Linked DNA regions of Arabidopsis thaliana. The protein of the gene in region 3 interacts with the protein of the main gene of each other region in a pairwise test. Each region holds a gene or a part of one and is shown on either strand. Other genes may lie near its edges. The genes, in order: PERK4, BAM2, AT4G27610 and AT1G01230.

Region 1 (5,895 bases), on a different chromosome or scaffold from region 3:
TCCAATACGGAAGAAGAAGCTGAAGAACGGTTCAGAGACATCTTAACCGCTGCGGAAGTAGATGTGACAGAGATAAAAGAAGTTGGTGGCGGCGTTAAGAAGAAGAATCACGGTAAAAGTGTTTGGAGGGAGTTGGTGATAAAACCGCGACCTGCGGTGCGTTTGATCTTGATAGCGGCCGTTGGGATACACTTTTTCGAGCATGCGACGGGGATTGAGGCCGTCGTGTTGTACAGCCCGAGAATTTTCAAGAAAGCCGGAGTTGTTTCGAAAGACAAGCTCTTACTAGCCACGGTCGGTGTAGGTTTAACTAAGGCCTTTTTCATAATAATAGCCACTTTCTTGCTCGACAAGGTAGGTCGTAGAAAGCTCCTGTTGACCAGTACGGGTGGGATGGTCTTCGCATTGACCAGTTTAGCGGTTAGTCTCACGATGGTTCAGCGATTTGGGCGGTTAGCGTGGGCATTGAGTTTAAGCATCGTCTCTACGTATGCATTTGTAGCTTTTTTCTCCATAGGGCTTGGACCTATCACATGGGTGTACAGCTCCGAGATATTCCCGTTGAGACTTAGGGCTCAGGGAGCGAGTATAGGTGTTGCGGTTAATAGGATCATGAACGCGACGGTCTCAATGAGTTTTCTGTCGATGACGAAGGCGATCACGACAGGGGGCGTGTTCTTCGTATTCGCCGGAATAGCGGTGGCGGCATGGTGGTTCTTCTTCTTTATGTTGCCGGAGACGAAAGGATTGCCATTGGAGGAGATGGAGAAGCTTTTTGGTGGTGGGGGTCCTCGTGGTGATCGTGACGGACTTGAGATTCAAACTAAAACCATCTCTATTGGGGGTTTCTCATAAGAGTTTCTCACAATTAAAAAAATAAAAATAATAAAAATGAAGGAGAGAGAGTGTAGAAAGATTCTCAGAAACTTTGAGATACTCTCTACAACCCATCATGACAATTCGCTTCTCACTATTGGTTCAACTTTTTAACAAAAATATTTTTTTAATCAAAAATTCAAATTATAATATAATATTAATTTTTTTTTGTTTGAGAAACTTTGTGGGTTTCTCATGGATGGAGATGCCCTTAGAGAGTCAATAATTAGGTTAGATTATCATGGCTATGTAGAATAATTTTTAAATCCAACATGATTTGGCATATCTATTATAAGGTGTGATTTTTTGTAAAGGACAAAGTATGATTTTTATATTCATCCCTTTTTACTGTAGCTAATGAGAATCTACAACCTAATAAAAAACAATAACAATTATTTAATTATAAAATCTAATAGTTCACCAAAACAAAATCATATATCGGTTTGGATTTATAAGAGAGGGTTAAAGTTTAAATTTTATGATTAAACGAAGTTAAATACCAGTTTAGGTTTATAAACGATTTTAGATTTTAGAATCAAACGAGGTTAAATGTCGGTTTAGAGTTATAAACGGGTTTGGATTTTACAATTAGATGAGGTTAAATGTCGGTTTGAGTTTTAGAAAGAACGATTTAAGTTTAGATTTTACAATTAATCGAGTTTAAATGTCGGTTTGGATTTACAAAATAGAATTAGAGTTTAAATTTTGTAATTAAACAAAATTATATATCGGTTTGAGTTTATGAAATAGTGGTTAAGATTATAGATTTTATAATTAAATGAGTTTATTTATTTATTAGGTGACATATTCTAATTGGCTGAAAGAGGTGAATGAAAAGGTGAACCAAGAATTGTTCGATTTTTAACTACACATCTAATTCTAGACTCTAGAGTATGCATATTAATGTTTCCAGAGATCAGAAAGTGCTTAAACAAAACATATTGATCACTTCATGGTTTTTAAGTCTTAGTTTAATTGATGGAAAGGAGAGGATTACCAATACTGAAGTAGAGTCATAGTTGATATTTGAGGGGTGAGAACCCTGAGATTCGTAAAGAAATCGATGAACTTGTGCGTGAAGAAATTAGTTTGATCATGCTCAAAGGTCTAAATAATAAAAAACCTTGACATTTGTTCCCAATTGAAGTCCTTTAATTGTGAGAAAAATTATGTTGCTCTAGAGCAATATTGAAGAAAAAGGAGACATATCACATATGGGAAGACCTGAGGAGCAATGATTTGATTTGACGGACCAAAATAAACCAGAGATTTTCCTGACAAATTAAGGTAATAATGCATGAGGTTACGTGGAAATGAATCAACAATCGTTAGCTCCTAATATCACGGAGCCAAAAAGAGAAAAATTAGACCGGAGATTATTACAATTAGTAACTAACACAAAACTGTTATTAAGACAGAAAGAGAGAGAAGAGGCATGTTTCTCGGAATGAAGACAGAGCAAATCTCAATCTTCCTTTTTCACCTTATTCCTATTATCATTTTCTGATCAAATGTTCAAAAACTCTCTCCCCTTAATCTCTTCCTCTAAGGTACACACTTTCATGCTAATCTCTTAACTAATTTTGTATTAATCTCTTATATTTAGCATTACCTGTTTTGTTAACGATCTAACGAACATAATAAGACAAGAACTTGTTCCAACGTTAACACCATTTTGATTATGATCTGTTTTTTCTACGTGTTGTTGTTGTTGTTCTCAGAATAATTGAGTGGTTAAGGGAGAGAGGAGACGGAGAGTTTTTATTTTCGTTACCGGAAAATTTTGATCTCCGATGGCTTCTTCTCCTGAATCTGCTCCTCCAACAAACTCCACCTCTTCTCCATCTCCACCGTCTAATACCAATTCAACCACCTCTTCTCCGCCGGCTCCGTCTCCTCCTTCTCCTACACCTCCTCAAGGAGACTCATCATCATCGCCACCTCCTGATTCCACATCTCCACCAGCTCCACAAGCTCCTAACCCTCCTAATTCCTCTAATAACTCTCCTTCCCCTCCGTCACAGGGCGGTGGAGGAGAAAGAGGAAATGGAGGAAACAATGGTGGCAATGATACTCCACCGTCACGCGGCTCTCCTCCTTCTCCTCCTTCTAGGAGTAATGGAGATAATGGTGGTAGCAGATCATCGCCACCAGGAGACACTGGAGGCTCTCGCTCAGACAACCCTCCTTCTAGCGGAGGAAGCAGTGGAGGAGGTGGAGGTGGAAGAAGTAATACGAATACAGCGATCATAGTTGGTGTATTAGTCGGAGCTGGACTTTTGATGATCGTTCTTATTATTGTGTGTCTTAGACGCAAAAAGAAGAGAAAAGACTCCTTCTACCCTGAACCCATGAAAGGTAAAAACATATACACACTCTTATGTTTCAACAAATAAGAAGCTTAGATTCTTTCATAAAATTTCAGGAAACCAATATCAATACTATGGAAACAACAACAACAACAATGCTTCACAGAATTATCCGAATTGGCACCTAAATTCACAAGGCCAAAACCAACAATCTACTGGTGGTTGGGGAGGCGGTGGACCATCACCGCCTCCTCCTCCGCGGATGCCTACAAGCGGAGAAGATTCTTCCATGTACTCAGGCCCATCACGCCCAGTTTTACCTCCTCCTTCGCCTGCTCTAGCCCTCGGATTCAACAAGAGCACTTTTACTTACCAAGAGCTTGCGGCTGCAACAGGAGGGTTTACGGATGCTAACCTTTTGGGACAGGGAGGATTTGGGTATGTCCATAAAGGAGTCTTGCCTAGCGGGAAAGAAGTAGCAGTTAAGAGTTTAAAAGCGGGTAGCGGACAAGGAGAGAGGGAGTTTCAAGCTGAGGTCGATATCATTAGCCGTGTGCATCATCGGTATCTTGTTTCTTTGGTTGGATATTGCATAGCTGATGGACAGAGGATGTTGGTTTATGAGTTTGTTCCTAACAAAACTTTGGAATATCATCTTCATGGTTAGACCACTTAAAAACTTTGAGTACTAAGTTTATTTTCTCTAATCTATATATTCAAGAAAGTTGTAACCTTAATTTGTTGTTGTAGGGAAAAATCTTCCGGTAATGGAGTTCTCCACTAGGTTGCGTATCGCCTTAGGTGCTGCGAAAGGACTCGCTTACCTTCACGAAGACTGTAAGTTTTAACATTCACCATTCTCATTTTCTTAACCAAGTTGCATAAAACAGAGAAAGCTCTGTCTCTGACTAGTGTTATCTTTTTGGCTGAGAAAATGGTGCAGGCCATCCTCGGATCATTCACCGCGACATCAAGTCTGCAAATATTCTCTTGGACTTCAACTTTGATGCTATGGTGATAAACTAGTAGCTTGCATTCATCTACGGTTTTTTGTTAAGACTACATTGATGACATTTTGCATTTGTTTATTCAGGTGGCTGATTTTGGATTAGCTAAGTTAACATCTGATAACAACACTCATGTATCTACTCGTGTGATGGGAACTTTCGGGTAAGCGTTTTACCGTATGATAAGATTGTTCGTGACACTCAAGAAACATAACCTTTGTAGACTAATCTACTTTGCTTCTTTCCACAAACATGTGTAGATATCTAGCTCCAGAATATGCTTCAAGCGGTAAATTAACCGAGAAATCCGATGTTTTCTCTTACGGAGTTATGTTATTGGAACTTATAACTGGAAAACGACCGGTTGATAATAGCATCACCATGGACGACACCTTAGTAGATTGGGTATTCATGCATGTAACATATGTATCGTGTATATATGTTTTTCGCCTTTTTCGCGTACTAATGATCATGAATACAGGCTCGGCCTCTTATGGCTCGCGCGCTAGAAGATGGAAACTTTAATGAGCTCGCAGATGCGAGGCTTGAAGGCAACTACAACCCGCAAGAAATGGCTCGAATGGTGACTTGTGCCGCTGCTAGCATTCGTCATTCGGGGCGTAAACGTCCAAAGATGAGCCAGGTGAATCAAAATTATAACTAAAAGTCTATTTTTGTCAGAGAATAACAAACAAATGTTGTGGTTTTCAGATAGTAAGAGCGTTAGAAGGAGAAGTGTCCTTAGATGCTTTAAACGAAGGTGTGAAGCCAGGACACAGTAACGTTTACGGGTCATTGGGAGCAAGCTCGGATTATAGTCAGACATCTTACAATGCAGACATGAAGAAATTCAGACAGATAGCTTTGTCGAGCCAAGAATTCCCAGTCAGTGACTGTGAAGGAACATCTAGTAATGATTCTAGAGATATGGGAACTAAGAGCCCTACTCCTCCAAAATGAGATCGAATCAATGATTCTGTAAAGAAGAGATTTTGGGGCTCTGAGAGTAGAGCAATGTAAGCTTTAAGCAAAAGCATTGTCATTGCTTGATTGGTTGGTTTTTTTTTTCATATATTTTTCGACTAAATTGTGTTATGTTTAGATCGTTACGTATGTGTATGATTCTTGAGATTTGATTCGATTCTCAAACATGAAATTAAAATTGTTTGATTTTGAATTGTATCTACTACATGTCTACATTCATAATCAAAGTGACAAGCTTTTTCAACTTTGGCTTTATGCTGTTCTTTACATGCTCTGTTTTTCATCTGTTTTCGTAATCTACCAAAAATTAAACCTAAACAAACCGAACTCAAACCAGATTGTTTAACGAATCACAATTAAACCGGTCCGGTTAGAAAACCCTCGCGTGTGACGCCTACCTTTCCTCTTCTCCGTCGTCTCTCCCATTTCTTCCTCAAATCTCTCTTTTCACGCCAAATGAAAGTTTAAAACCTTTGAATTGTTTATTGAAAGTTTACATTTTTCTGTTGAATCCAACTATGTTTAGATTGAGAAGTCTCTTGTCGCTGAAGAGTTCTTCGATTGTAGAATTGTCATCACAAAACGTCACAGAAGCAATTCGTTTCGCTCCATTTCATTCGACAAGTGTTCTGTCTGAAAAATCGAGGAGTAGATTTGGTTCTGTAAGATCATTCTCTATAAAGATTTGCTTCCTTATTGAATCTATGTACACTGTAATT
Region 2 (6,025 bases), on a different chromosome or scaffold from region 3:
ACTAGATACCAAGGATAGCAACAACACCTAAAGTCTAAAGATTTTTTGATATTGATGAGTCAAAATCAAAGTTGAATATATGGCTTGTAATTAATGAGAGGGAGATGTCATAAATGCTTCGTCTAAAATTAGATTTTTGCTTCAAGACAAGGGAATAGAGTGGAAAAAAGATCTTAGGACCATCTGAATTCATTAAGACACTAGTGTCACACTACCCATACATTTGCAATAATTGGACAAATTGTGAGTGAGCTTTCACTTTCTCTCTTCTCAGCGTTACTCATCTTCAGTCCCACACAAACACATTCATACCTTGGTTTCACCCTCTCTGTGTTTTTTTCACATGGAATGTCTTGTTGTGACACAACAGCTACCACAACCAGATACAATCCAAAAGGGTAAAAGCAAAGGTGAGAATAAAATATGTAATGTAACAACTCATAAGCAAGATTCCAGCATAATGGAGACACTAGTTTCATTTTAAGACAACGAAAACTCTAAAAAATTAGTTTTTGCTTGAGTATGAAACTAAATGAAGTTCTTAAGAATATAAGGGGCAAAAGTGTTTTTTGGTCTAACACAATTGACATACTTGAACCGGGGGCAGATTGATCATATACATAACTGCATGTATATATATGCTGATATGCATAAGCCATAATGTTCTCGAAATTCGATTTCCTGAAATTAACCACTTATCATGCAAAATTCAACCGCAATGTACATATTCAAAATTCCTACACGAATAATTGTGGCAGCAGTGAAAAAAGAAATGCAACAACCTTAAGAGTTAAACCACTAATTGTTGCCTTAACCGGAACCAGACAACAACGGGCTAATTAAGTAATTAACTCCACTACCGAGACGTCGGTGACAAGAAAATTAGAAAGACAAATTTGCCCCTCAATGACCAAACCCAATCGCCGGAAAGTCTAATTACTTAAAAGATCCGGTGGACTTCCTGAATCCGGCGACGATTCATTAATCGCCGGAGCTTTCTCAGTCACGTCTGATTCCGCCGCTTGCTGCTTCGAAAGAGGAATTTTTGGGATCTCAGTGAGAATCTGAACGACTTCACGCATCGTCGGCCTCTCCACCGCTTGTTCTTCAACGCAGAGCAACGCAACGTAGAAGACGTGTGTTACCTCGTGAACTGGAACTGAAGAGAGTCTAAGATCGATTACTTTGAGCACACAATCTTTATTTGAATCCGTCATGCTTCTCACCCATTGAACAATATCAACGCCGTCGCCAAATTCTCCGACGGGTTTTTTCCCGGTGATGAGTTCTAGAAGAACAACACCGAAACTATACACATCGCTCTTCTCATCTACCTTCAATGTATACGCGTACTCTGCTCAACAAGGAACAAACAAGTTCAGAGATTTTACATTTCACCACCAAGTGTTTGATTAAATGCCATTTTCTGCAAATTTGTTACCTGGAGCTATGTAGCCGTAGGAGCCGGCAATTGCGGACATACATTCAGAAGTACCGGAATCTTGGAGGAACTTGGCGAGACCAAAGTCGGCGACATGAGCTTCGAAGTTGGAATCGAGGAGGATGTTGTTGGATTTAACATCTCTATGGACGATCAACGGGGAACAATCATGGTGGAGATAGCAAAGACCCTTGGCTGCTTCAAGAGCTATCTTATAACGTGTGTTCCAATGTAAATGACCTCCTTTCTTTCCATGAAGAACCTCTCCAAGGCTACCATTAGGCATGTACTCGTACACAAGGAGATTCGTTTCGTGGTTGGAGCAAAAACCGAGCAGTCTCACGATGTGTCTGTGTCTGATTCTACCTAGCGTCTGAATCTCGGCGTTGAACCCGTGATCGTGGGAAGATCCATGGGACATTGTAGCCAATCGTTTGACCGCGACTAGGTCGCCTTTAGGCATAGTGCCTTTGTAGACAATCCCAGCACCGCCTTTACCGATGATGTTGTCTTCCTTGAGAGAGTCCAAGACATCGTCACAAGTGAAGTCTAGCCTCTGGAAAGCAGTCAATCTCCATGCCTTGGCTTCACTCGCATTTCGCAAGGACCGAGCTTTGATTATGGCCACTATAGCAAACACCATCGAACAAAAGAGCAATCCAAGGACGAGTAACAGTTTCGTAGTAGCAGATAAAGGTTTGACATGAGACTGGTGAGTTCCTTTGCCGCAAGGACCCAAATACGGACCACAAAGATGAGAGTTACCCACAAACGATGTGTAATTGAAGTAACTAAACTGTCCAGTGCTGGGAACTAAACCGGAGAGATTGTTGTAAGAGAAATCAACCGATGTCAAACTCTGCATTGATGCTATCGTCACAGGTATGGAACCAACGAGATGGTTTCTTGAAAGATTCAAGTAATTCAAGATCTTCATACCTGTGAGTTCATTAGGAATATCACCTGAGAGCTCATTACGGCTAAGATCAACAAACGTTAGCAGCTTACAACGACTGATCTCCGGTGCGATCCGACCGGAGAACAGATTGTGGCTAAAATCCAACTTAGATAGCTGCTGAAGCCTCCCAATCTCGGGAGGAATCGAACCAGAGAACTTGTTACCATCAAGAAGTAGTTTTTGAACACCGGACAAGTTTCCAATAGCTGCAGGTAATGAACCAGAGAGCTGGTTATTAGAAAGACTAATCTGACCAAGGTCACCAGAGACTCCTCCTCCGCTTATTGGCAACTCTCCGGTAAGGTAATTGTCTTGGAGCTCCACTTGAGATAATTTAGGTAACCCGAAGAGCTCCTTTGGAATCGACCCGTTAAGGAAATTCTCACCCATCCGGATCCGGGTCAGAGACTCACATTTACCAAGCGAATCCGGTATTGAACCAAACAAGAAGTTGCCAAGAGTGATTAACGTCATTAACCGGTTACCAGAACACATATTCGGCGGCAGAGTTCCGGTGAGTTTGTTCGAAGAGAGATCAAGAATCACTAATCTACCATTTTCCCCCAATTTCTGAGGAATACTACCAGTGAAATTGTTCTCCCAAAGCTGCAACACTTCAAGCTCCGGCATTTCACCGATGAACTCAGGTATAGCACCGTAGAGCTTATTCCTGAAGAGATTCAAAAGCGTTAAGTTCTTCAGCTGTGAAAAACTCGTCGGAATCTCGCCGGTAAACATATTGTTAGACAGATCCATCGATTTCAAGCTTGAAATCAATCCCAGCTCTTGAGTTATTGTCCCTGTAAATGCGTTTACTTGAAGAAACAACGTATCTAGCTTCTGAAGCTTCCCAATCTCCGGTGGAATCTCTCCGGTTAAACCACAATTAGCAGCGTCGAACCGAACAAGCTCTGATAAATTTCCAATCTCCGGTGGAAGACCATTTTCAAAAGCGTTGTAATATCCGATGTAAAGTTCACGAAGAGTCGTTAGGTTTCCGATCTCCGGAGGGATTTTACCGGTTAGCTCGTTACCGGAAACCGCTAAGTATTCGAGAACAGGCCAGGTTCCGTACGTCGCCGGGATTTTGCCGGAGAAGTAATTCCCACCGAGGTGAAGATGACGGAGCTGAGTGAGATTAGTGAGTGAAACCGGTAAATCTCCGGTTAAATTGTTGTTGTATAAGTCAAGAACACGGAGATTCACCAATCCAGAGGAGAGTTCATCGGGAAATGAACCGTTGAAGACATTATTGGAGAGATTGAGGTGACGAAGCTCATAGAGATTGGAGATTTGCGGCGGAATAGGACCTGAGATCTGATTAGCAGCGAGTGATAGATTCTGTAGCAGAGGTAAATGAGCTACGTCGGAGGAGAGAGTTCCGGAGAGGTTAAGACCTGAGAGGTCGAGAGAGGTCACGTGACGGAGAGAGACGTCGCACGTGACACCGGTCCATGAACAGAAAGTTGTTGAAAGGTTCCATGAGGTCAGGAGAGGTGAGTGTTCGTCGATGGTGAAGGAGGATTTGAGTGAGAGAAGAGCGTGGAGCTCGGTGATTGGTTTAGCGACGGTGAAGGAATGAGAAATGTGGAGGAGAAGGAGGAGGAGGAGGAGAAGAAGAAGCTTCATTTTTTTTTTGTTTTTTTTCTTCTCTTTCTGTGTAAGTTAGGGTTTGGTTTTAAAAAGGGTGAGAGTAAGTGAGGAAGATGAAGATTGTGTGTGTGTTTTTTATGAGTTTTATTTGTATATTGTAAAAGTATTATTTTTATTTTATTTTGGAATTTACTTGGAGGGAGATTTTTAAGAAACTTTGATTTCACATAAATTTTCTGAAAATAGAAAACACAAATTAAAAACTTGAAAAGTCGTTTATTTAACATATATAGAAACATATGCATGTGGTGGATTTAATGAAACATGGAATTAGAAAGGAAGGGATTCAAAAACGATAATTACATGAAGAAAATGTTAATTAATTTGGAGCCTTGTTGTTTTGAAACGTGATGTTACCTAATCTTGACAAAATCCAACACTTTATTACACAGGTATACAAGTGTAATAATGCAATACCAAAGCGAACCATAAATTCAAAAAGATGTTTTAAAGATAAACCCCATAATGAATTAATTGATGATGTTGAAATGAACGGTCCTGATGTTATAATTCGACGGGAAAAGATGGAGTCCACCACTGGGGATTCACAAACTTACCAAAACTTATTGAGACACCCGCTTCTTTAACCTCTCTTAAGCAAAACGAAACACTTAATTAACCAAAGAACCCCTTAAAAAGCTTTGTAATAACATTTCTATCCTTAGGACGGACCACAACAACAAGCCCCAAGGCAATGGCATGATCGACAAAACCCAGAGAGCCGGTCTCTGTACTCTGATCGACTGATAATGACGAGAACAACCTTGAGATGACGCACGGCAACAGTTAAGATCCTCGAGAGATGGGTAGGGATACGATCGTACTTTTGATTAGTGGAAGTAAGTCAGTTAAACACAGTCCTATGTGCATCATTTTCATCTTTTGCCAGTTACCACAGTTCACTGATCAACAATAATGGTTTCCCGACATGTATTTTATTTTATTTATACTGATTTTTTATTATCTCACAAAATTATCCAATTTGATTTTGTAAGAAAGTAGGATTTCGAATCATTTGCTTCTTTTGCCAGTTACCACAGTTCACTGATCAACAATAATGGTTTGCTCAGTGAACAAACATATTAGTTTTTTTTTTTTTAATCTTGTATTAAATATGGAATCAAAATGCAAAAGAAAAAAATGAATTTTTAATGATATAGATCTAAAGAAATACTGAATGTCAAAATTTTGAAAGCAGATTTTTAGTCACATGATTAGGGAAATATGTAGCCACTAGAATAAGTCGTACTCGTATTAGGTGAATTTTTGTTTTCTTCTTTATGGACCCGGATCAATAGAATAAGTTTTCATCTGCAACGCACTTTCTTGCACTAAATAATAAACTTATATTAGTGAAAAATTTATAATAATGAAAACATTTCTTGTTTAATGGTTTACTTCGAATGATAAGAATTGGTAAGCACGTGTTAGGAAATGTATACTTTTTTGGGGAAAATGTCGAAGATATACTTTTGGATGGGTGTGTGTGTATTGCAGATTCGTTTGTTGAAGCTTGATTTCGTATTTGGTACCAAATCGAATATATTTAACCTGACTAATAGATTATTATGATAGCACTAAACCTAACAATTATTGTTTGCTACTACAATCATAAAGAATTCAATTTATACTCTTTTTGAGAGTTTTTATGTTTAATCTTATTAGCATATCTCGAGAACTTTTACACAAAAGAACCAAAGCTGAATTTTGGTCTTTGTATCAATTGGGAGAGACACAAACATGACTGAGTCTTTAGGAACTGTTGCTTTCTCTTGAATCATGTAAACAGAAAGACACGCTGTAAAAGCAAACAGCCCACTGGTGTGTAGCTAAAAGACAGAACAAAGGTCACAAAGTCATCTTTTTGTTAAAAAATTTTGGTTTCGAAATTGAAAACAAAAAAAGAGAGAGTGGGTTCAAATTTTCAAGTGGTCCATTTCAAAATCTTGTAGGGTTTAAAAAAAAGAAGACTT
Region 3 (5,243 bases):
AGGTTCCTTTGGGGTGATATAAAGAGTAAAGACGGGAGAGAGAGGAGGAGGAAGCATTATTAGAAGCGGTAATGGCGGAGAGAGTGAAAAAAAGAGAGGCAGAGGTAGGAATTGGAGAGAGGAGGGAGAACGCCATGGAATTAGATAGTTTTGCTCTTTGAATGAAGAAAGCTCACATCTCCATTCAAAAGCGAGAGGAGCAAGGAAGACCAGCAAAACCCGAGAGACGGCCTCTGAGAGGATAAAGTATGACTTTGACTTTATATGTTTATTTATATAAATCTTATTAGGATAAAACTCTATTTCTTATTTATATTCAAACCCAAAATTTCAGAATAAGCATAATTGCTAACAATTTTATTTTAACTGTATCTTAAAAATAATAATGTATGTTGCGTCTATTTATAAATTTAAAATTTGTTTATACTATTTATCATTTGTGTTAAAATTGGCTAATTCTTCTAGTGAACACATCCTTATACGTGGCGTTTGTAATTATCGGGTTAGTTACCAATTACGGAGAATAAAAAAAAAAAAAAAGTAGAGAGCTATTCCCGCGGTAAATTCTTCAACAACTATCTATTTACCTTTACACCAAATGTTGAAAGAAAAAACAGAATCAAGACATTCAAAAACGAAAGCAGAAAGCCAGAAAGAACCTGAAAATCTTGATCTCCACCGTTCTTAGTACATACTAAGATTCATTTTCTCGAAAAAGGAAAAAGAACCGAAAAAAAAAATAAGAGACGCAAGTATGCACAATGCCTAACCTTTCCACCTACAATAAGTTTTGGAGCTGTGAGTCCAGTCTCTGCTGCAACTCTTTTACCTTCTGCGAAAGCTCAATCTTCTGCTCCTTATAGCTTCTAAGTAGATACTCTTTCCCATCTATCACTTCTTTAAGCTCACTCACTTCCTTTCTCAACATCTCTACTCTTTCTCCATCCCTTAGGCTCTTTTCTTGTGACTCATAATTGCTTTCGCTGTCCATAAACCCGCCATTCCAAGGTCCAACCGGAGATGTCTTGCCATTGCTGTCCGCGCCACATCCCACGCTGTGATCAGCAATTGCCTTTCTCAGTCTTTGAACTTCTCTTTCTGATTCAAACAGATCTCTGTTCAGTGTGTCTAGCTGTGCCTGGAGATGGCTTGAGTGTGCCGTCTGTGCGTTATACGAGTTTTGCAGCTCTAGAATCTGTTCTTGCATTTCCTGTATCATGTCATCCCGTCTCTTCAGCTGCTGCCTTAGTTTCTGTATTACTTCTCGTTTGCTGAAAATGTCTGAGCTGGTTTCAGATACGCAAGGAGAATCTGAGCAGTTTGAATTGTGATTGTATGGTCTTGGGGGAAGTTCCAGGCGATCAGGAGAAGTTGCCCACATGACTCCATTCTCTTTGCTCGATGGAGCAGGAACTGTCACAAGAGGCAGTGAAGTGTCAGATGCGGATATCATTTGCTCGCTTGTCACCTCTTTTCCTTCCACACTCTCAGTTCCTATAAAAATAAAGAAGCAAAGGCTGATAAGATCCATACACGACTGTTTGCTCTGGACTACATGAATATTAGGATTCAGAGATTTTCCAAAGAGAAAACATAACTCAGGTCTGGATCTAATAGTACAAAACTTGTAACTATGCTTAACGAGGTCTTGGTAGATAACAAAACTAGTAACTGTTTTTAGCATTCAGCCACTAGACACAGCCATCAATGGAGAAAACCTGCTTCCCTAGTTGCCAGCCCAATTGATGCAAATTAATGGTAATATGCCACAACGAAACAAGAGATATTCGATTCAACCAGTTATTGCAAGGTGGCAAATCTTGTAACTATTTTACTCATTCCATAACTTCGAATTGGATTCCCCTAGTTGACAAATACATCATGAGGTAAGATAACAGAGGCTAGAACTCTATAACAACATCTACACATTCTCCCAACTAGATTTTACTATATATCACACATCGTTTTAACTTCATGAAAGGAAACCCAGTAAGACATGATGCGAGACCAAGAAACAAGCATATAGCGTTTGTTTAGTAGATTGAACAAATATGTATGAGGCAAAACAGAAAGTTACAAAGTCACACCTGGAATGGAGCGGAAGCAACAAAAATCATTATTTTGTGTACAGGAAGATGTGGTAGAGTGTAAGCAACAGCTTGTAGATTTTTGCCTCTCAGATGTTCCATTAGCTGCACAAGAGGCTTTCATTTAGTGATAGAAAAAAACTAGAACCAAATTATAAAACATGTTAAGCAACACAGCGATAAAGTAAGTACGTTTTAATCCAGCAGAGCCATTTGATTGAGGTTTCGAATCAAGCGACTGCTTTAGCTTGTATCCAAAGCGAATGGACAATGTGCTCAACAATGCACCCCCTGCAATTAGTATCCAGTTTGGCCCTTCACCACAAAATTTATCACCTCGCTGATGCTTGGAAATGCCATTTCTTCGTGTACTCATTGTATGAGAAAGTCAAAATGTATCTATCATCCAAACATAACCTACATTGAACGGATACAAGAATCAATCATCATCAACGATCAGAATGAATTGGGCATATGTCAACAAGAAACCTGGTGTCAACTCAATAAAATCAACAAATATACAATTTTAAAATCATCAAATGCTTAATACCCAGAAAGATTCCAGAAACTAGAATATGAAAAGATAATGAGCACAAAGAATCACGTTTTGAGCATTACCTCAAACACAGTCAACCAGAGAAGGAAAAACAAAAAAAAGATCTAAAATGATAGTAACACTGAAAAGAGAAAGACAAAAAAAAAAATGGAAGATTCTCTAAGTCAAACATTCTCAGTTGAGAAAGTATACGACGAATCCATGGAATCATATAGGAGCACAGACTCTACCTCAAAAAAAGCAAATGCAAGAAAAATGGAGTTCCCTGAAAGAGTAATCGAAACGTTGATGCCATGGGATTTAGATTCTAAAACTACAAAAGCAAGAAGAAGAGATAGATACTTGCCTTGAACATGAAGCGAAATGAAAATAATAACAACCCTTATTTTTTTCGATAGGGGCCGTTAATCGATATCCCAACAACCCTTAATGAACACAACAATCGCAATCAGAAGGAGAATAAGGAATTACATAAATCCGAGCTCGAAAATAGATTTTCCGACGAATCAAAAATCAGTGAGCGAGCGAAGCACCCAAAAACAGGGAGAGTATAAAGGACTCTTTAAAAAACCTCATAGACAGCAGAAAATGGGCATTAGGGCTCCATAGTTTCCCTCCCGAGCCAGAAAATTTCTCCCGCTTGAGTTTCAATGTTTGATGGGTGGTCCTTGCAGCTTCGAGAATCGAAAAAAATCGCTGAGAGAGAAATACGATTCCGTGAAGAATCGCAGAGTCTCCGACGATGATATGACTGTAAAACCCCCGGGGAGGAGAGAGAGAAGCAAAGTGGAGGGGAAGAGGTTGAAGAGAGACGGCGCCTCACAGTTACAGCTCCGTTGTTGTTTTTTCCTTCCACTGTTAATTCATTTATTAAAATAAAATCACGCACGCGTCAACCACGTCCCATGGATGACGCTCACGGTGGTTAACAAACTCAGCTCATATGTTTTTTTCTTCTTTCTTTTCTTCTTTACGATTTCAATTTTTTAGTAATGAAATTTAATAGATAATTTGAGTATGAATGAACATTTGACATCTTTATCCATGTGTAAATGTTTGCACTTTCTGTTGATTATTTTTTTTTTTCTATTTTAAGTCACTACCAGCTAATGTGATGATACATTTTTCTTTTGTCTTCTTCACTATGTGACAACTACAAAATTAAATATTTGGTCCTTCCTTCTCTAACGATTTTCTTCCTTATGAATATCAAAACCTGACTGAAATAAGTGCCAAATTAAATTTTAGCAACCCTTCTTTCTCTTTCCTTAAGAACAAGTAACCAACTTTCTTGTAAAAAACTTCAACTGCAATTCTACAATTTAAGCCTTGAGACACGATATTGTATGAGTTTGCAACTTTCGAATATCCACTTCACCAAGAGAAAAAAACAATTTGGATAAAATCATAATTGACACCCAAAACAATGTAGTCAGTTGATAAGTTTCCCCGGAGAAATTGAGATATTTTTGAACAAAGATTCATATTTTTTACTCGGGGAAACAAAAGAGAGTGGTAAGAATGCACAATGCCTAACCTTCTTCACCTACAAAATGTTTGGGAGCTGCGAGTCCAGTCTCTGCTGCAACTCTTTTACCTTCTGCAAAAGCTCTGTTTTCTGCTCCTTATAGCTCCTAAGTAGATACTCTTTCCCATCTATCACTTCTTTAAGCTCACCCACTTCTTTTCTCAACATCTCTATTCTTTCTCCATCCCTTATTCCATTTTCTGGTGACTCGTAGTTGTTTTCGCTGTTCACATCGCCACTCCAACCATTGCTACCTGTGTGTCCCACGCAGTGATCAGCGATTGCCTTTCTCAGTCTCTGGACTTCTCTTTCTGATTCAAACAGGTCCCTGTTTGTTGCGTCTAGCTGTGTTTGGATATGGCTAGAGTGTCCCATCTGGGCGTTTAGCGAGTTTTGCAGCTCTAGAATCTGTTCCTGCATTTCAACTATCATGTCGTCACGTCTCTTCAGCTGTTGCCTCAGTTTCTGTATTACTTCTCGCTTGCTGAAGATGTCTGAGCCGGATTCAGATACGCAAGGAGAATCTGAGCAGGTCGAATGTTGATGGTATGCTTTCATCGGCACTTCCAGGTGGTCAGGAGAAGATCCCCATACGACTGCACTCTCTTTGCTATATGATGAAGCAGGAACTGTCACAAGAGGCAGAGAAGTACTGGACTCTGCCATTTGCTCATTTGTAGCATGATTTCCTTCCCCATTCTCAGTTCCTGCATAAATGAAAATAAGAAGCCAACTCTCAGAACACCCACACAAAACTTTTCTGCCATAACACAAGCCATCATTGGGGGATAATACTACAGCCTTCATAGTTTCCAGCTCATTAACGTAAGTAGCTACTTAAGTATGAATCCTGATTGGGGTACAAAGACATCTTTAGTCAAATATTGTTCCTGATTGGGTTACAAAGATCATTATGCAAGATACTAGAGGCTACAAATATGTAAGAACCATCTCCATATTCTTTCAACTATTTGACAACATCTCCCAAAATCTCTTTTCACTTCAAAGATACCACAAAATCAAACCCCAGTAAGAGACTATGTGAAGTGAAGTTATGTATAAGCAAATTCAG
Region 4 (3,949 bases), on a different chromosome or scaffold from region 3:
CATTTGGATTTGGAGATAACGCCGTTAAAAGACTCTGTAACGGGTTTGCTCAACAGCTCTCTCTAGTTCGTTTATCGAATTAGATAATGCCACTCCAAAAAACGTTACTTTACCTTACCTATCTCGCTGACGTCAGATCCCACCGTTAGAGCTTACACTTGTAACGCCGTTTCCTGCATTTTCCACAAGCAAGGTAAAAAAAAGCTTTGTGCAGAGAGAGAGAGAAGAAGAAAAATGGGTTTGCTTACGAACAAGATTGAGAGAGAAGAGCTAAAGCCAGGAGATCACATCTATACTTACAGAGCAATCTTCGCTTATTCTCACCACGGTAACTTTAGATTCATTCTTCCCAAGTTTGCTCCTTTCTTTCTCGTTCATTCAATCATAACATCAAAAAGTGAAATTATCCTCAATGCAAGTCTTTTCTTTTAGTTTCTACTGGTCGGTTTAATCTTCTTATTGAAACTGTAAATTCACAAAGTTGACGACTTTATCTAGATAGATCTTGAAGACAATGGTCTATATTCCAATCTTTGCATGACCTAATTTCACCCTGGCTCTGTATTTTGATGTTATTCCATCATATCTTCTGATCTCTGATGGACTTTATAGATGATTTTTGTTTATTTGACATATTTTTATCCCAATTTCCTCTGGTGATGAAGAATTGATACTGTTGTAGACATTCCTTCATGGGCTTTGATTTGATTGTGGATTTTTGCAGGAATCTTTGTCGGTGGGTCCAAAGTTGTTCATTTCAGACCTGAACACAACCCCATGGATTCATCAACATCATCAATATCATCATCTTCCTCTGAAGATATCTGTTCCATATTTCCTGATTGCGGTTTCAGACAACCGGACAGTGGAGTAGTCCTTTCTTGCTTAGACTGTTTCCTCAAGAACGGCTCACTCTACTGCTTCGAATATGGAGTCAGTCCATCGGTTTTCCTAACCAAAGTCCGCGGAGGGACTTGCACAACCGCGCAATCTGATACAACTGATTCAGTCATCCACAGGGCAATGTACCTTCTCCAAAACGGATTTGGCAACTACGACATTTTCAAGAACAACTGTGAGGATTTCGCGCTCTATTGCAAGACCGGTTTGCTTATAATGGATAAGCTCGGTGTAGGGAGAAGCGGTCAAGCTTCTTCAATTGTTGGTGCTCCTTTGGCTGCACTCCTCTCTTCTCCTTTCAAATTGCTTATTCCAAGTCCCATTGGTGTGGCAACAGTTACTGCTGGTATGTACTGTATGAGTCGCTATGCTACCGATATTGGTGTTAGAAGCGACGTCATTAAGGTCTCAGTTGAGGATTTGGCTCTCAACCTTGACGTAAAGACCATTGAGCAAGGTGAAGAAGAAGAAGAAGACGAAGAAGAAGATTCTGATACCGACTATGTTAGGTGACAAACAGATACCTATCACCTTTGTTCACGAATTTCGATATACATAAGAAAACATTTCAGTTAGAATCCTCATGTTGGTTTTATGTTCCCTTTATTGCATTTGTTGGCCTATTTTCTGTCTGTACAAAATGAAAACGCAGACGTTTTGGTTTGGGTAATGTCAAAAATATCCCAATAATTAATTAATGCCCAGTGTAGATGCAAAAAAGCAGTCGTCGTCTTTCACGGGCACACAAAATTAAACCAAAGAAACAAACAATCCTTGTTCTCGCCGAAATAGAGAATTTTGTGAATCTGGGTTTTTAGTTCAGGTGTTAATATAAGATTTTGATCAAAAGAAGACGAGATTCGATCCGATCCGATCTGATTGAAGAAGAAATGGCGAATCTGTATGTGAAAGCGGTTCCACCACCGGATATGAATAGGAATACGGAATGGTTCATGTATCCAGGAGTTTGGACGACTTACATGCTTATTCTCTTCTTCGGTTGGCTCGTTGTTCTCTCTGTCTCTGGTTGTTCCCCTGGAATGGCTTGGACTGTTGTTAATCTCGCTCACTTCGTTGTAAGTCTTCGATTGTGTTTATGCTTTAGAGATGATTTTTTCACTTAGGGTTGTGACTTTAAATTAGATGATGGATTGATTCCTTGTTTTTTTTTTATTTCCTGAGATCTGGATGTGAATCTGGCTCTAGTGTTTGAATTGATCTCTTTGGTTATTAGCAATTTTTTAGTTGGTTTAGGGTTCGAATGAAGAGGCAATTACCTTCTGATTGATCAGTTTTAGCTATCGTATATCGTTGAGCTTGGATCAGGCTTCGAATTAGGATACAGTTACCTTCTTATCAATGAATTGATCAGTTTTGGTATCAGCGATTTTGAATTGATCTGTTTGGATACTATCAGCAGTGTTGACTGTTGAGTTGATCAGGCTTTTAAGTAAGATGCAATTCTCTTCTAAGTTTGAATTGATCGGTTTTGGATCAGGCTTCGAATTAAGATGCACCTTCTCGTTAATGAATTATCAGTTTTTGATATCAGAAACTAAAACTACCTATGGCATCAATGCAATTTCTTAAGGTCTAACTGTTTGATATAATGCGGTGACTTGTAAATTGGCATTGCTTGATTGTCAAAACCAAATTTAATCTAATTTCTAATTACTCTTTAGGAAAATGTGATGTCTGAGTAGAAATTTGTGGATATTTGTTGTCAGGTAACGTATCACAGCTTCCACTGGATGAAAGGAACTCCTTTTGCAGATGACCAAGGAATCTACAATGGTTTAACTTGGTGGGAACAAATGGACAATGGTCAACAGCTTACCCGCAACCGCAAATTTCTTACCCTAGTTCCTGTTGTTCTGTAAGTCCCAGCACCTTGTTCCTCAAAATCTCACCACTCTTGTCTATTTCCAATCTATATTTTCTTAGCAAATTATTTTCTTTAGCTGCATATATCCTTGTGTCTCATATGGTTAATAAATATGCTAATTTCTCAATACACATATCTAAATCCGGTGATGTGTAACGGACTAGTTCTAGAGAACTCTGTATACGCGATAATGTGTATAAACAAGAGCTGCATTTATCTGGATGAACTTTTAAGATTGAGCTCTTTAGCTTTTGTACTTGTTTTCTGACTTTATAACGACACATTTAAAACAGGTACTTGATTGCATCGCATACAACAGATTACAGACATCCATGGCTGTTCCTCAACACACTCGCTGTGATGGTTCTCGTTGTTGCCAAGTTCCCCAACATGCACAAGGTACGCATCTTTGGTATCAATGGTGATAAATAAGTTTCCTTTACGGCAAGAGAACACCTGAAAGAAGGAAAAGGGGATATAAGCGAACATATATATGTGTAAATGTTCATATGAGTTGGTTTAATTCTCGAGTCATGTTTTTTGTTGGATATTTGTAAGTAAACTCTCTAATTTTGAAGCTTTCATCTTTTACCTTTTATAATAGACACGAAAAAGCTTTCCCTTCATCTCCCCACTTCACTTCAGATAATGGGCCTAATAGCAATATGGGCTTGAACAATAATTGAATTTAACAATGGCCCAAAGATTCCTGTCGTGGTGACTCATGAGTTATCATAACACCAGAATGTTTTCGATTGAGCGTAATGATTCAGTGGGATCTAAAGAACACGTGGCTGCCTACAAGATCTCTAACAGCTGGTTAATGACACGTGTCATAGTTAAAGTCCACCTGGATGGATATTATATCATGGTGTACGTATACAAAATAGTTAATCCCTCTTCAAAATTGAATAAAGCTAACAAAAGTAATCAATTAACGTGATTAAAAAAAAAAAGAGAATGCTAATTGGACCCCGAAAACATGATATATCCTGCAAAATTAAAGCCGACAAAACGAAAGAATGACTAATTAAAGTTGGAATAAGACTAATGATTTTTTTTTTTTTTTTTCTTATTGTGGTCCAATGTAAGAAAATAAATAAAAACATCTTATCCATTAAATCGAAAGTAGGGTCCATATCGTAATAGCCGTCGATTCTCTCT

Evidence for each region.
Region 1: the proteins of AT4G27610 (region 3) and PERK4 interact in a protein complementation assay, tested with the Arabidopsis thaliana proteins (one large-scale study listed by BioGRID).
Region 2: the proteins of AT4G27610 (region 3) and BAM2 interact in a protein complementation assay, tested with the Arabidopsis thaliana proteins (one large-scale study listed by BioGRID).
Region 4: the proteins of AT4G27610 (region 3) and AT1G01230 interact in a protein complementation assay, tested with the Arabidopsis thaliana proteins (one large-scale study listed by BioGRID).

The regions. Positions count from the first base shown.
Region 1 is NC_003071.7:8,004,542-8,010,436, reverse strand, and holds PERK4 (roline-rich extensin-like receptor kinase 4), read left to right. Parts: upstream 1-1,755; 5' UTR 1,756-2,163; intron 2,164-2,274; exon of another isoform or gene 2,275-2,290; 5' UTR 2,291-2,426; exon of another isoform or gene 2,427-2,597; 5' UTR 2,598-2,669; coding exon 2,670-3,234; intron 3,235-3,301; coding exon 3,302-3,847; intron 3,848-3,935; coding exon 3,936-4,022; intron 4,023-4,128; coding exon 4,129-4,199; intron 4,200-4,278; coding exon 4,279-4,355; intron 4,356-4,452; coding exon 4,453-4,597; coding exon of another isoform or gene 4,598-4,673; coding exon 4,674-4,835; intron 4,836-4,903; coding exon 4,904-5,152; 3' UTR 5,153-5,375; downstream 5,376-5,895. Other genes in the region: AT2G18480 (Major facilitator superfamily protein), read left to right, coding at 1-855; AT2G18465 (Chaperone DnaJ-domain superfamily protein), read left to right, coding at 5,695-5,838. UniProt on the Arabidopsis thaliana protein: Required during abscisic acid (ABA)-mediated activation of Ca(2+) channels. Regulates ABA signaling pathways. Modulates the expression of genes related to cell elongation and ABA signaling during root growth.
Region 2 is NC_003074.8:18,415,744-18,421,768, reverse strand, and holds BAM2 (Leucine-rich receptor-like protein kinase family protein), read right to left. Parts: upstream 4,202-6,025; 5' UTR 4,029-4,201; coding exon 1,442-4,028; intron 1,355-1,441; coding exon 933-1,354; 3' UTR 506-932; downstream 1-505. UniProt on the Arabidopsis thaliana protein: Necessary for male gametophyte development, as well as ovule specification and function. Involved in cell-cell communication process required during early anther development, and regulating cell division and differentiation to organize cell layers.
Region 3 is NC_003075.7:13,784,870-13,790,112, forward strand, and holds AT4G27610 (intracellular protein transporter), read right to left. Parts: upstream 3,647-5,243; 5' UTR 3,215-3,646; exon of another isoform or gene 2,505-3,214; 5' UTR 2,464-2,504; coding exon 2,280-2,463; intron 2,193-2,279; coding exon 2,088-2,192; intron 1,495-2,087; coding exon 779-1,494; 3' UTR 544-778; downstream 1-543. Other genes in the region: NARA5 (pfkB-like carbohydrate kinase family protein), read right to left, coding at 1-136; AT4G27620 (intracellular protein transporter), read right to left, coding at 4,190-4,878.
Region 4 is NC_003070.9:95,830-99,778, forward strand, and holds AT1G01230 (ORMDL family protein), read left to right. Parts: upstream 1-1,582; 5' UTR 1,583-1,790; coding exon 1,791-1,976; intron 1,977-2,627; coding exon 2,628-2,776; intron 2,777-3,078; coding exon 3,079-3,217; 3' UTR 3,218-3,411; downstream 3,412-3,949. Other genes in the region: AT1G01225 (NC domain-containing protein-like protein), read left to right, coding at 235-328, 725-1,413.